Linked DNA regions of Callithrix jacchus. The protein of the gene in region 3 interacts with the protein of the main gene of each other region in a pairwise test. Links are inferred from orthologs where the notes say so. Each region holds a gene or a part of one and is shown on either strand. Other genes may lie near its edges.

The links.
Region 1: the proteins of KRT40 (region 3) and PIMREG interact in binary tests that used the Homo sapiens proteins (3 or more experiments, as listed by UniProt). The two-hybrid records come from large-scale screens. The link is inferred for Callithrix jacchus from reciprocal best matches to the Homo sapiens genes KRT40 and PIMREG.
Region 2: the proteins of KRT40 (region 3) and CYCS interact in binary tests that used the Homo sapiens proteins (3 or more experiments, as listed by UniProt). The two-hybrid records come from large-scale screens. The link is inferred for Callithrix jacchus from reciprocal best matches to the Homo sapiens genes KRT40 and CYCS.

What each region holds. Positions count from the first base shown.
Region 1 is NC_133506.1:107,999,678-108,004,620, forward strand, and holds the start of PIMREG (protein PIMREG), read left to right. Parts: upstream 1-1,697; 5' UTR 1,698-1,747; intron 1,748-2,257; 5' UTR 2,258-2,290; coding exon 2,291-2,584; intron 2,585-4,511; coding exon 4,512-4,811; intron 4,812-4,943. UniProt on the Homo sapiens protein: During mitosis, may play a role in the control of metaphase-to-anaphase transition.
Region 2 is NC_133512.1:32,935,789-32,940,546, forward strand, and holds CYCS (cytochrome c), read left to right. Parts: upstream 1-1,512; 5' UTR 1,513-1,570; intron 1,571-3,223; 5' UTR 3,224-3,231; coding exon 3,232-3,400; intron 3,401-3,507; coding exon 3,508-3,656; 3' UTR 3,657-4,536; downstream 4,537-4,758. UniProt on the Homo sapiens protein: Electron carrier protein. The oxidized form of the cytochrome c heme group can accept an electron from the heme group of the cytochrome c1 subunit of cytochrome reductase.
Region 3 is NC_133506.1:92,275,950-92,280,175, reverse strand, and holds the start of KRT40 (keratin, type I cytoskeletal 40), read right to left. Parts: upstream 2,801-4,226; 5' UTR 2,760-2,800; coding exon 2,313-2,759; exon of another isoform or gene 1,618-2,312; coding exon 1,535-1,617; exon of another isoform or gene 904-1,534; coding exon 747-903; intron 1-746. UniProt on the Homo sapiens protein: May play a role in late hair differentiation.

The sequences.
Region 1 (4,943 bases), about 16 Mb from region 3:
TATATACATATATGATTTACAGAATAATAAAGGCTGGGCAAGGTGGCTCATGCTTGAAATCCCAGCACTCTGGGAGGCCAAGGCAGGAGGACTGCTTGAGCCCAGGAGTTTGAGACTGCAGTGAGCCATGATTGCACCACTGCACACCAGCCTGGACAACACAGCAAGATCCTGTCTAAAAGGGGGTCAAAAAGAAGAAAATAAACATCCATGTGGCTACCACCCAGTCTACAAAATGGAACATTGCCTTTGAAGTCCTTTGAGCCCTTCCCTCAATACATCCTCTTCTCCTGTCACCCTTCCAAAAATGACTACCTATTTTATTTTGGTGCTTACATAATTTTGCTTTCCATAATACCTTTGTCCACAAATGTGTCTGTATATTCCTAAACCATATTGTTTAGTTTTTTGCTTTTGACTTACACGGTGTCATACTCTGCATATTGCTTTTTTTTCAAATCTAACATGATATTTCTGATATTCACCTAAGTTGGGAATGGTAGGTGGGAGGAAGGAATGGGAGAGATTTGTTAAAAGATACAGAGTTACAGCTAAATAAGAGTGATCTGGTTACAATTCACTTATTTTTCAGTGCTGTATAATTTGAATAAGTAACAATTTATATGTCTAAAAAATGCCACCCATATATGAATTTGGGCATTATATTTCCAACATTTGCAATTTGAGGGACATGGTCAAACCATAACAGAGGGTCAGATGAGTTAATAAACTGAAACACCAGGACCTGTGCATACTAAGTGTCATATACACATCATCCTTATCATCATCCTTTGGGGGGAAATCACTGACGTCAAAGTGGGTAAGACCACCCAGAAACGAAGAGGGTTGAAGACAGAGCCTCAAGGAACCATCATCTCAGTCTCTTGTGCGGGAGAAGTAACAAAGAAACTAACCGGGGGAGTGGGCAGCGCTGCTTTGAGGTCACCGAAAGGAGTAGGATGGGTTGGAGAGAGCTTTCTAATGGCTTGTTTTGTTTGGATGCTAAGGAGAGGAGAGACAGGCATTCCGCTGGAGGGAGGGAGGGATGCCAGAGGCAAGGCGCGGGCAGAGAGCCAGGGTGGGCGGGAGGAGGGCAGACTGGTATCCTCTGGTCTATCCCCACTTCCAGGACGCGTTTTCTAGGGGGGCGGAGTGTGGACGGCGAGTATGGGGAACTCCGAGAGGGGCAGTGTCTTGTCACAGGAAGGGAGGGTCAGGAGGGAAATTTGAAAGAAAATGTCTCTGGAAAACCCAGGGCTCCGCGCTGCCAGCGCCTGGCTCTTTCTGAAAGAACCACTGAGCAAGAAGGAAAAGCCAGGCCCCTTGGCGGGTTGGCGCTGCGGGGCCTGGAGCCTGAGCCAGGAGGTCTCGGTGGCTGGACCTCCGCCTCCACCCCATGGGTCAGAGCAGCCTGGACTTTTGCGCGCTCCTGGGAGGGGATCCGGCGTGCGATGGGCGGGGGCGGGGGCTGGGCCCGCGAAGGCTGGACGCGGGATACAAAGCCAGGAGCCACGAGGCTGGAGGCCGGGCGGGGGCCGGAGCAATGAATGGGGACGCCTGGGCCAATCCGAGCGCAGCATCTGCAGCCGCTAGAGAGGGAGCCAATTGGATGCCCGGCCCGGCGGCGGGGACGGGGACGGAGCCAATCAGCTGGGAGGACGGGCCGGGGCGGAGCCGCGCAGAGTTTCAAATCGGCTGCAGTGGGCGAGAAGCAGCCGTGCTCGGGTGTGATCAGCGTTGGTGTCTGGTGAGTGCGGGCGGGACCGTGGTGGGGCTTCTGCTCAGAGCAGGAGGACCTCAGGTTCGGACATGCACGGCGTGGGGGTGCGTCTGGGTACCTCAAGCGTCGGATCGGAATAGGGCGAGGGGCCGTCTGGTGGGAAGGCCGGGGTCTGGGCGGTGGTGCGTTGGGTCTGGCCGAGCTGGTGAAGGAGATGGTAATCGTGTCCTGGGCCCGGCGCTGAGGCTCGATTCTGGAGTGTCCTGATCCTGCCTCCCCTCCTTGCCTGAGGCAGAGAGAGGAAGGAGGTTGGGATGAAAGGACAGCTGTTTTGGAAACTTAAAGTGCTGGACAGCAGAAATCCTGCTGACCTGAGACCCCTCTTCCAGGAAGCATCTTCCTTTCTGCACCCACACTTGCAAACTTCCCCACCACCCTGCTGCATCCCATCTCCTCCCCTGTGCCCAGGGTCTCTGTGGGGCCTGGGAATGGGGATGCGGAATGCCTTGCTGACCTGCTCTTTGCCCTCCGCCCCAGGGTGTAGTGGGCAGAAAAGACTTGGCCTGGCAGATGGCTTCTCGGTGGCAGAGCATGGGGACCTCCGTGCGCCGGAGATCTCTCCAGCACCAAGAGCAGCTGGAGGACAGCAAGGAGCTGCAGCCTGTGGCCGGCCATCAGGAGACCTCCTCCGGGGCCCTGGGGTCCCTGTGCAGACAGTTCCAAAGGAGGCTGCCCCTGAAAGCCGTCAACCTCAACCTCCGCCCAGGCCCCTCCTGGAAACGTCTGGAAACCCCAGAGCCAGGGCAGCAGGGCCTCCAGGCAGCAGCTCGCTCAGCTAAGAGTGCCTTGGGTGCAATGTCCCAGGTAATACCGACAATACTAACCATCTTTTTTATGAAGGGTTTCCTTGGTGCCAGACAGTTCCTGCCTTCAAAGAGCCTCCAAAAATATAGACTCCATGAAGACAGGGACTTTGGTTAGTTCACTGCTGTTTCCCTAGCACCCCAAATAGTTCCTGGCATGTATAGGTGCTCAACAAATAGTTGAATGAATGAATGAAAGCATGTCTTGGAGGAAACAGATGCTCACACTACCAGGTGATAAGAGCTGTATGTGATAGGAAATTGCAAGCAAGTGGCCAATAGCAAGGGCTCACCAAACGAAAGCTTAGTTGGTGAAGGCTTCCCAGAGGAGGTGCCTCCAGAGTTCACCCAGGGAAGCCAAAGGTCAAGTGGTATTTAAGGCAGTGGAAATAGTTCAAGTCCAGGCCTGGAGCAGGAGGAGCTGAGGAAAAACAAGATTGCCCACTCAGCCATGGACCCCTGAGGAGAGCCAGAATTTTAGTGTGGGAATGAGCAAAGGACACAGGGCAAGGTAGAGCAGGGAGAAAGGATATAAAGGAGCTTAGACTCTCCCGGGAGTGATCAGGAGTGGGAGTCCATAGGATTCTAAAACAATGGAAAGTCTGGTCTAATTAGCATGTTAGAATTTGCCCTTTAGCTACATAATGGAGAAGGGAATGGAAGCAGAGAAGCTCCTGAAGGGGGACCTAAGGGTCTGGACTTGCAGGGGATAAACTTCGGGAACTGCCTAGAAGGTTGATTAGAGGGGATTTAATGTGAAATGAGAGGTGCTGGCAGGAAGACATCCTTATATTGGCTGTAAGTGTCTATGGGCCCTTTAAGGGATGCATCTTTCAACCCAGAGCTGGAGGTAGAGAGGGGTCACTTAGAAAGGACAGAAGCCATTAGGATGAATGGACCTTCAGTGAGAGGACTGGAGACTGCAGAGGTTTCTCCTCGATGTCTCACTGGGAATTCCAAAGATGAGCGGAGAGGGTGGCTGTTTCTAGACCCTCTGCAGAGAGCTCTCTGAGCCAAATGTTAGTCCTTATTTGGAAACTTTTTTTTTATTTTTTGAGATGGAGTCTCGCTCTGTTGCCCAGGCTGGAGTGCAGTGGCGTGATCTCGGCTTGCTGCAACCTCCGCCTTCCGGGTTCAAGTGATTCTCCTGCCTCAGTCTCCCAAGTAGCTGAGCTTATAGATGTGTGCCACCATTCCTGGCTAATTTTTTTGTATTTTTAGTAGAGATGGGGTTTCACCATGTTAGCTAGGCTGGTCTTGATCTCCTAACTGCGTCGTGATCCACCCAAATGCTCTCCTGGTATGCAGGGGGTGGTAGGCAGGCTGGCCTGCTCTTCTCTGCCCCGCCCCCGCCACAGTCGTTGGGTCAATCTGTATCTGGAAGGAGAGTTAGACAAACAGGCTCCATGCACTAGGGCAGGTCATCCTGCTGCTGACTGCTGCTGTCATATCCAAAAGCTCTGAGCTGGATCCCTGCCATGGAGTCCTTTCCCGAGGAGTCATTCACATCCCTCACCCTGGAGACTAACAGCAGCCTGTATTTACAGGACACTTGTTGGGTCTAGGGGTGGTGGTAGCTCACCCTTGTTTTTTGCTTTTTCAAGACAGGGTCTCACTTTGTCGCCCAGGCTGGAGTGCAGTGGCGTGATCTCAGTTCACTGCAACACTGCAACCTCTGCCTCCTGGGTTCAAGGGATTCTGGGATTACAGGTTCTTGGATACAGCCCGCCAACATGCCCAGCTAATTTTTTTGTATTTTTAGTAGAGATAGTGTTTTACCACATTGGCCAGGCTGGTCTCCAACTCCTGACCTCCAGTGATCTGCCCGCCTTGGCCTCCCAAAGTGCTGGGATTAAAGGCATGAGCCACCGCCGCCCAGCCTCACCCTTGGTTTTGTCTGTGCTAACATTTCCATTTGCCTATTCCAGAGAATCCAGGAGTCCTGCCAAAGTGGCACCAAGTGGCTGGTGGAGACCCAGGTGAAGGCCAGGAGGAGGAAGAGAGGAGCACAGAAGGGTAGTGGATCCCCAACTCACAGCTTGAGCCAGAAGAGCACCCGGCTGTCTGGAGCCACCCCTGCCTACTCACCCTCAGGCCCCTGGGAGAAGGCGCATCACTGCCTCTCTGCCCAGATGGGCTCATGTGCCCGCCCGTTACGGCGGTCGAGGCGGGAGGCAGCCTTCCGGAGCCCGTACTCCTCTACAGAGCCCCTCTGCTCTCCCAGGCAAGTAGGACAGTTCCTCACCCTGGGGCTGGTAGCCTTTTAGCCTGGGCACAATCCCTGCTCTCTGACCTCCTAGACACTAACTGGGCCCCAGGGGCACCCTGAGTGGAGTCACAGCGTGTAATTATTATCCTTA
Region 2 (4,758 bases), on a different chromosome or scaffold from region 3:
TAATACTCCATGTACCTAGAAAAATGCTTGGCACATAACATGCATAATAAATGCTTTTTTTGTTTGTTTGTTTGAGACAGTCTTACTCTGTCGCCCAGGCTGGAGTGCAGTGGCACGATCTCAACTCACTGCAATCTCTTCCTGTCGGGTTCAAGCGATTCTCCCGTCTCAGCCTCAGCCTCGTGAATAGCTGGGATTACAGGTGCGTGCCACCATGCCCGGCTAATTGTTGTATTTTTAGTAGAAACGAGGTTTCGTCATATTGCCAGGCTGGTCTCAAACTCCTGATCTCAGGTGATTAGCCCGCCTCGGCCTCCCAGAGTCCTGGGATTACAGGTGTGAATCACCTTGTCCGGCCAATGAATACGACTGAATACGGCAGTGTCAGATAGAATACAAGGCGAGGGAGTGGAGGGGAGAGAATACAAGAAAGGATGAAAATTAATCAGAACATGGGGCTAGAATTTGAGGAGTAAAGGTGTCAAAAAAAAAAAAAAAAAAAAAAACCAGTGACAGAACTGAGCATGTCAGGAAGGGGATCTAGTTTTAAATTATAATAACTAAAAGCTGTGGTATTAACGCCTTTATTTCTAATAAGACCTCATGCATAAGCTTACTTGAACATGACATTTACCTAGGTCAGAAGGGATGCAAATCCTCTAGATTTCCAAGAATTCTCTAATCATCTAAACATGTTTCTTCTTAGATGGTGCCAACACACCTTCCATGTTCTTTCTGCACACGAACGTGAGGGGGAGGAGGGCGCTGGCAGAAAAGTTGCCGACAGGTAAGGGGCCAGAGATATAATTGTCTCTACCGCAAATGCAGCACCTTCCCCATTCTTGGGGCGTCCAACAAGCGGAGAGCTAGAAGATGACTGAAAGTAACACAGTAGAGGTGGAACTAGAACAAGGTCACGAGCAAGTGCCCAACTCGTCTAACTCCTGGTTCCAGGCTGTGCCTCTGGGATGCTGTTGGCGCCAGCAGTGTTAGTATGACAGAGCCTGGGTAAAGGTCGTCTGCTGACGAGACGGTAGCTAGGAGACCTCTAGGTGAGCCAGAATTAGGGCGTCTTCTCCTGGACGTGCGGAACGCCCTGCCCAAACAAAGCTCATTACATCACCAGGCCTGTTACTTTAGCAGGGTAACGCGCCAAACCACCACCGACTCCGCCCCACCCTCCCCGCCCCTCTAGTATACGCAAGCGCACAAAGACCTGCGAGTGACGTCACCCCTCCCGGCACCACCGCGACGTCGTTTGACCAAAGGCCTGTCGTAACGGCCCGGCAAGAGAGGCCTGGAGAGGAAGGGCACGCACGCCGCACAGCCTACCCTGCTCGCTGGTATGCGCGCGCAGATCCTTGGCGCAAGCATTGGCACTGGAGCCAATGAAGCGCGGCAACGTCACTGCGTAGCCGCAAGCTCGGCTGTACGTCAGGGCGCGGGAGGGCGGAGCGAGTTTGGTTGCACTTACACTGGTACTTAGGCGCGGACCGGCGTGTCCTTGGACTTAGAGAGTGGGACGTCCGGCTTCTGAGTGGTAGTCTTTGTTGCGCTAACCACGAAAAAGGTGAGAGCGGGTCGCGGAAGCCGCATCTGGTTAGAAGCAGAGCTGTGGGGGGCACGTATTCGCGAGGATACGCGGGGAGCCTTCGAGGGGAGCCCGCGCGGGGTGGGAAGGCCGGACGTGAGGACCCTAGACTATGGTCAAACGAGAGCCAGGCGATCAACCGCTTGAGGTAGGGCGGAAGCCCAACTAAGGTCTCGGTCAGTTACTGGAGACGGCAAGACGCGTCCTCTTCCGTCGTGGTTGTTGAAGGGCTATGGAAACGATAGGCCAGACTTCCCTCCCTTAAAACCGAAGCGTAGCGTTTCATTTTCTGCTTCAGAGGGCAAAAGCTGTTGCTCCTCTAATAAGGGGTTGTTCTTTTCGTGGGCACATGTTTGTTCTTTCAATCGTTGCGGCGTCCTAGAAACGTGGGTTTCATCAGTCACCTTGAAACCGACCTGGATGGGTGACCTCGTGGTCACCTCGGGGGGATCACCGGTAAGAGAGTTGGGGATTTCTTGGGGACACCGTGCAGCCTACTCCTGCGCTCCAATTCACGCAGGAGTAGTGTCAAGCTACTCTTGTGCCCTGGGCAGGTAGAAACAATCAGAACCGTTTATTTTATTTTTAATTTATTTTTGAAGACGGAGTCTCGCTCCGTCACCCAGGCTGAAGTGCAGTAGCACGATCTCGGCTCACTGCAACTTCCGCCTCCCGGGTTCAAGCAATTCTCCTGCTTCGCCCTCCCTAGTACCTGGGACTACCGGTTTCCACCACCACGCCCGGCTTTTTTTTTTTTTTTTTTTTTTTCTTTCTTATGGAGTTTCGCTCTTCTTACCCAGCCTAGAGTGCAATGGCGCGATCTCGGCTCACTGCAACCTCCGCCTCCTGGGTTCAGGCAATTCTCCTGCCTCAGCCTTCCGAGTAGCTGGGACTACAGGCGCGCGCCACCATGCCCAGCTAAGTTTTTTGTATTTTTAGTAGAGACGGGGTTTCACCTTGTTGACCAGGATGGTCTCAATCTCTTGGCCTCCCAGAGTGCTGGGATTATAGGCATGAGCCACCGCGCCCGGCTTTTTTTTTTTTTTGTATTTTAGTAGAGACAGAATTTCACCATGTTAGCCAGGGTGGTTTCGTTCTCCTGACCTGGTGATGACAACCCACCCCTCCAAGCCTCCCAAAGTGCTGGGATTATAGGCGTGAGCCACCGCGCCGGGACCCAGGACCGATTTTTAAACATTTGTGCTTTGCATTATCCTCAGGGAGAGGTGGCTTTACATTGTAGTACGATTAAATGATTAGACCTTCTTAAAAGTTGCAGTTGTGGTGATTTTCACTTAATGTTCGCTGTTCTGCTTCGTATCTGTGACTGTTTGTGATCATGACCTTATCTTCTGAAACTGAAGTTTGAATTACGTTCCCATTTGCTTGCTTGGGTTTTAACCTTCCTTCACGTATACACACAAAAACAGGTTTTTAAGGAGGTGCTCCTAAAAAATGTTTTTGGTATGAAAGAGTATTGGGTATAAAAAGTATTAAAGCAAAAGAAGATTCATCTTAGTATTTAATGACATAAATTATCAATGGATTGGTAATTAAGTGACTAGAGTGGTCATTAGTTTACACTGTATTTGTTACCTGAAGAAAAATTATTGTTGGGTCTTTCGTTTTTAGAATTCAATATGGGTGATGTTGAGAAAGGCAAGAGGATTTTTATTCAGAAGTGTTCCCAATGTCACACGGTGGAAAAGGGAGGCAAGCACAAGACTGGGCCTAATCTCCATGGTATCTTTGGGCGGAAGACAGGTCAGGCCTCTGGATTCACTTACACTGAAGCCAATAAAAACAAAGGTAAGAGGAGAACACTTGTTAAATAAAACAGCACAAAACGCATGAACGTAACCTGTGGCAAACTCCGGAGTGTGAAATACTTAATGGATGCATTCTTTATCATTTAGGCATCATCTGGGGAGAGGATACACTGATGGAATATTTGGAGAATCCCAAGAAGTATATCCCTGGAACAAAAATGATCTTTGTCGGCATTAAGAAGAAGGGAGAAAGGGAAGACTTAATAGCTTATCTCAAAAAAGCTACTAATGAGTAATAATTGGCCACTGCCTTATTTATTACAAAACAAATGTCTCATGACTTTTTTATGTGTACCGTACTTTAATAGATCTCATACACCAGAATTTACATCATGAATGACTGACAGAATATTTTGTTGGGCAGTCCTGATTTAAGACTAAGACTGGCTTGTGGTTAAATGAATATGTTCAGTTTTTGGATTTTAATAGTAATTCCAATTTAGTAAATTCTGTCACACCCACCCCTTCTAAAGATATGATTAGACTTCATTAGTAATGTTAAAACTTTTCGCAAAGATGGTGAGTGCCATCTTAAAACTTACTGGAGATTGGTTTTATATTTAGATTTATATGACTGGTTATGTGAATATATTTAAATATGGGGGCAATTCCTTCACAGTCTCAGAACCAAGCAAGATTCACCTGTGTTTTGTGTTCGTTTGCCTCTTAAAGGCAAGGTTGAAGATAAACGGGTAGCAATGGCTATTTTATATTTTTGGCCTTAACTATGCCAATCTAATTAGAGTACCCTGTATTTAAAATGGTTCCTTTTACTTACTGAAAGGCATTTTGTGTGGTTTATGTGTAATATAAAAAATTATTTAACACTTCACACATTTTATAGATGATCTATAAGGTCACATGCTTTTAAAATAGTAGCCAATTAAACTTCACTCTTGGATTCTTTACAATCTAAGTCAAACTAAGTTATAATTTAGGATTGTCTTTAAAAACAGCCATTCAGAAACAAAACTGTATAACTGCTGTGTATTTGTGATTGGGAATGGTGCTTTTGCCAACCTCTAAAGGATTAAAGTAGAAGAGATATACACAAATTTAAAAATGATGTGTGATTATAAGACTTAAGATAATTAAAAAGAAAACCACAGATCATGATTTTTTGACTGTGCTTGATTTCATGACTGTTGCCAAAATTTTAATGATTATAAAGTACAGGAGCCCTAAATATCAATGCAGCGGTGTTAAGCATGGTGTTGGACTATTTACTTGGTCCTCTAGAACCGCCTGAACTAGGATAACACTTCACTAATTCATTCTTAGTTTCTTTGCCCAGATTGAGAACTGCGCCATTTATGCCAGACATGGACAGACAAATGC
Region 3 (4,226 bases):
TTTGGAGTAGTGGGTAAAAGTGTGAGATTTTTATTCAGATTGCCTAGGCTGAATCTCTTTTCACCACTTACAAGGGTCTCAGTTGCTTCATCTGTAAAATGGGCATAATAATTGGACATTTCTCCCAAAGGTTATTGTGAGATCTAGAAGAATTAATCTACATATAATTAACTTATAAATGTCCTGGCACATAGTAAGTTCTCGATGAATGTTAGCTATGATTGCCATCAAAAAATGTTCAAAGAGCAAAGTAATTTGTTACGTCATTCAGCTTTTCATTTTCTAGCTTTATTAATATATCAATTGCTTTATATTTTATGAGTTTTAAAAGTTTATAAATGTGGAATATTTAAAAACACTGGTCCAGATAGTGCACGGGTCTTTCTCTCTTTTTGAAATGGCCTTCACAGTCTGTTTCTCAGCCTGATTTTTATAGCCGGTGGATTGGAATTAGGAGTGGCATAAAACCTCCAAGGAAAGCCATTTGTGGAGTTATTCACCTTCTCCACAAAGGCAGGGGCAGGAGAAGAGTTTGATTTCTTCGTCTGGCACTGGCCAGGGGTATTTCACATCTTAATTCAGAGACACACTGGAATGATCAGGCTGAGCAGTAATAATGCCTTGAGCAGTTTTAGTCTAGCTTAAGCAACATCTGCCCTAGTTCTATTCACAAACATCAACAGATCATCTGTCAGTGTAACTATGTCACTCTTGGAGTCCTTCAACGGAGTTGCCACTTTCCTTACCTCTTCATGGGTTTTCTTAAGGCAAAGAAGATCTTCCTTCAGAGACTCCACATGGGCCTCCAGGTCGGATTTGCACAAGGTCAGCTCATCCAGGATTCCATGCAGGCCGCTGATGTCAGCCTGTAACAGCTGGCGAAGGGACAGTTCACTGTCGTACCTTTCACAGCAAAAGAGAAATCCAACACTTATTCTGTTGAATGCTGTGCAAAGTGTGAGGATACATGGAGGATCGACATATGAATTTCAGGAAGCCACATGCAGAATTTCTCTTAATTCCTGAGTAATGATAAATTCAAGCTTTTAAGACATTCTTAACTTTAAGATATTATATAGAGAATATTTGTGTGTGTGTGTGAGAGAGAGAGAGAGTGTGTGTGTGTTTGTGTGTGTGTGTGTGTGTGTGTGTGTGTGAGAGAGAGAGAGAGAGAGAGAGAGAGAGAGCGCCATAAATTATTTTCAAAATAAAATTAAGCCTGGGTGTGGTGGCTCATGCCTGTAATCCCAGCACTTTGGGAGGCCAAGGCAGGCAGATCACCTAAGGTCAGGAGTTTGAGACCATTCTGGCCAGCATGGTGAAACCTCTTCTCTACTAAAAATACAAAAATTAGCTGGGCATGGCAGCACATGCCTGTCTGTAATCGCAGCTACCTGGGAGACTGAGGCAGGAGACTCGCTCAAACGCAGGAGGCGGAGGTTGCAGTGAACCATGATAGTGCCACTGCACTCCAGCCTGAGCAACGAGGGAAACTCCACCTCAAAATAAATAAATTAAATAAAATTCAACTCACTTTGACTTAAAATCCTCAGTGGCCAGTTTGCAGTTGTCAAGCTGTACAGCAAGTCTAGAATTCTCTGCCTTCGTGCATAAGATCTGTGAAGAAAGTCCTTATTTAATAAAGTATTCTTTGAGAGAAACCTAAATAAACTACTATCCAACAGCTATGCCATTAGTTATCCTTTGAAAGTCTTTATAAGAAAGTGTAAAATGGCCGTTAGCTGCTTTCCGTATTCACCGTGTCACTTGATGAAGCAAACAAGCAGTGCCAATTCAGAAACAAAATAGAGACATAAAAAGGTTCACTTTTTCTCATAACATAAGACATTTTGCACTATTCCTAGGCAGTGGAACGCCATTAACGTTTTTCTCCATCAGTAGTTTGTATTATGACTATACCCTCTCCCATAATGGAAATTCATCAGGGAGAGAAGAAAATGACTAGGTGGTTAAAAAGATGGCATTTCATGATCTGTGTTCAGATAATATAAATGTTCAGTGTCACATACAAAAGCGATTTTGGATATAACACAGTCTTTTTGCATTCTATAGATGACGAAGGAAAAGTCCACAGACAAGTTACTTTGTTATAGTTACTCAGTAATCAGGGGTAGCTTTAGGGGTGGGACTGAGGTTTCCCGACTTCCAGCACAGTGCTCTTCCCTATGTACCATTAACTTGTAGAACTCTCCTTTCTCTTGGTTTCCTTCTGTAAAACAGCACCTTCTAGTAGAAAGATAAAGCAAACCATAGATCGAGAAGCTGGAGCACTAGGGCAACAGGACATGCACCTTTTGTTGGAGATCTTCAATGGTGTTGAAGTAACACTGATAATCGGGACATGCCAGTGGGATATCCTGTTCACATTGCTCTTGGATCCTGGATTCCAGCTCTGCATTGGTCTCCTCCAGGCTGCGCACCTTCTCCAGATAGTTGGCGAGTCTGTCATTCAGGAACTGCATCGTCTCCTTCTCATTGCTAGTGAACACTCCATCCTCACACCAGGCACAGTTCCCCACCAAGCAGGGACTACTACAACTCCCAGTAAAGTAGCATGGCAGGAGGCAACCGGTCAGCCCGAGAGACCTGGAAAGGGAGCTAGGGGTCTGACATCGGGATGCAGCACAGGAACCGGGGAGACAAGCTGTCTCCATGGAACAGCTTGAGGCAGGTGCACAACAGGAAGCCCTGGTACAGGACTCAGGAGAGCAGAGCGTGGAGGAGCAGTCAGAAGACATCCTTCTAGAAGCAAAGACAGAGACTGGCTGCAAAACACCAGTTGCCTTGACTCCAAAACACTCCTTCCCTCCTGAGAGTTTTATATAGCGCCCCCTCAAAATGGGTGTTTACAGACTGCACCGGATGTTTTCGTCATCATTGATGGTGCCGGTTTTTATACAAACATCTCATTAGAGTTGTTTATTTACTGAAGAAGAGTTGTATGCCTCATAAAAGGGGGATAACTTTAGGTTACCAAAGCAGGGCCCACACCATTTCCATGTGCAAGACAAAACACTTATTTCAGAAAATCATCATAGGAAGCATTGTCTTTTTGACAGAATAAGAAAAGAAAGAGAACATTTGGCCAATCAATAATTATAGATACAACTCATTACAAATCAGGAAATTAATATTCCCACAGATTTTGATTCTGTGCATTGATTGCTTGTGTCTTCTTTAAAATTAGTATTACGGCTCATAAAAGGACATTCATTTGTTTGTCCACCACTATAAAAATGGTCAGTGTGGTTAGCAATCTTCCAGTGCTTTTTGTGATCTTAGAGCATGTGCTGACAGGACTGGAGAAGTGAGGTATATACTGGGTTTAAAGAGTGTGAGTGTGTGTGTGTGTGTACAAACCATGTCTACCTGCATACAAATGGAAAAGTCTCTTTACACAACTGATAGGAATAACTTGTTTCCTGTAAGTTAAAATATATATTGGTTAGAGCTGGAATTATGATCTTTGACTTCCTGAAACTTGCCTTCTCCACACTTCTTATTTTTAGATAAGTCATACAATTTTACCTGTATTCCTAATAAGAGTGAAATATAAATTTTCTAAGTTATAATCTTTTAGTCCCTTGGGAATTCCTCAGTGATTATACTTCAGAAAAGAGGGAGGAACCCACAGGAGTCTTTGCTTCTGAGATGTATAAACATACTGGAACTTGGGAAATAAAATTCTATTCAGGTTCCAAATGACTAATTCCACTGGTTGAAATCTCTGATGCCAAATCTGACAGATAGGAGCTTGAGATGTGTGACTTTTTTGGATTCTCTCTTGAATTTCACCTCCGTTATGAAGTACAATCTATTTCACTTTGCTTAGCGTTAGTCATGACATGTATTTCATTTTCAAAGGTGCACAGAGAAAATTGCCTCTAGAATTTTTAAGAACATTATAGGAAAAAAACACATTAATCTGAAAAAGTTAAAAAATTTATGATCCAAAATAAACTTATTTCTTCTCCTAATCTTGAGTGCTGCTTCCTGGGTAGCTGAGAAGAGAAACCAAACCAAACCAAGCCAGAGAACATATGTAAGTGAGTTAAAATAGTCTCTTACTCCCTGGGCAGAGTTGAGTTTGAATTTAGTGATTCTCTTTACACATCAACACTTATGAGAAAAGTTTTTAGAGTGCTTCATGGTATGCTGATGCTGCTTTGCAACAAACACAAGTTCAAGGATTCAAAAACACTTTC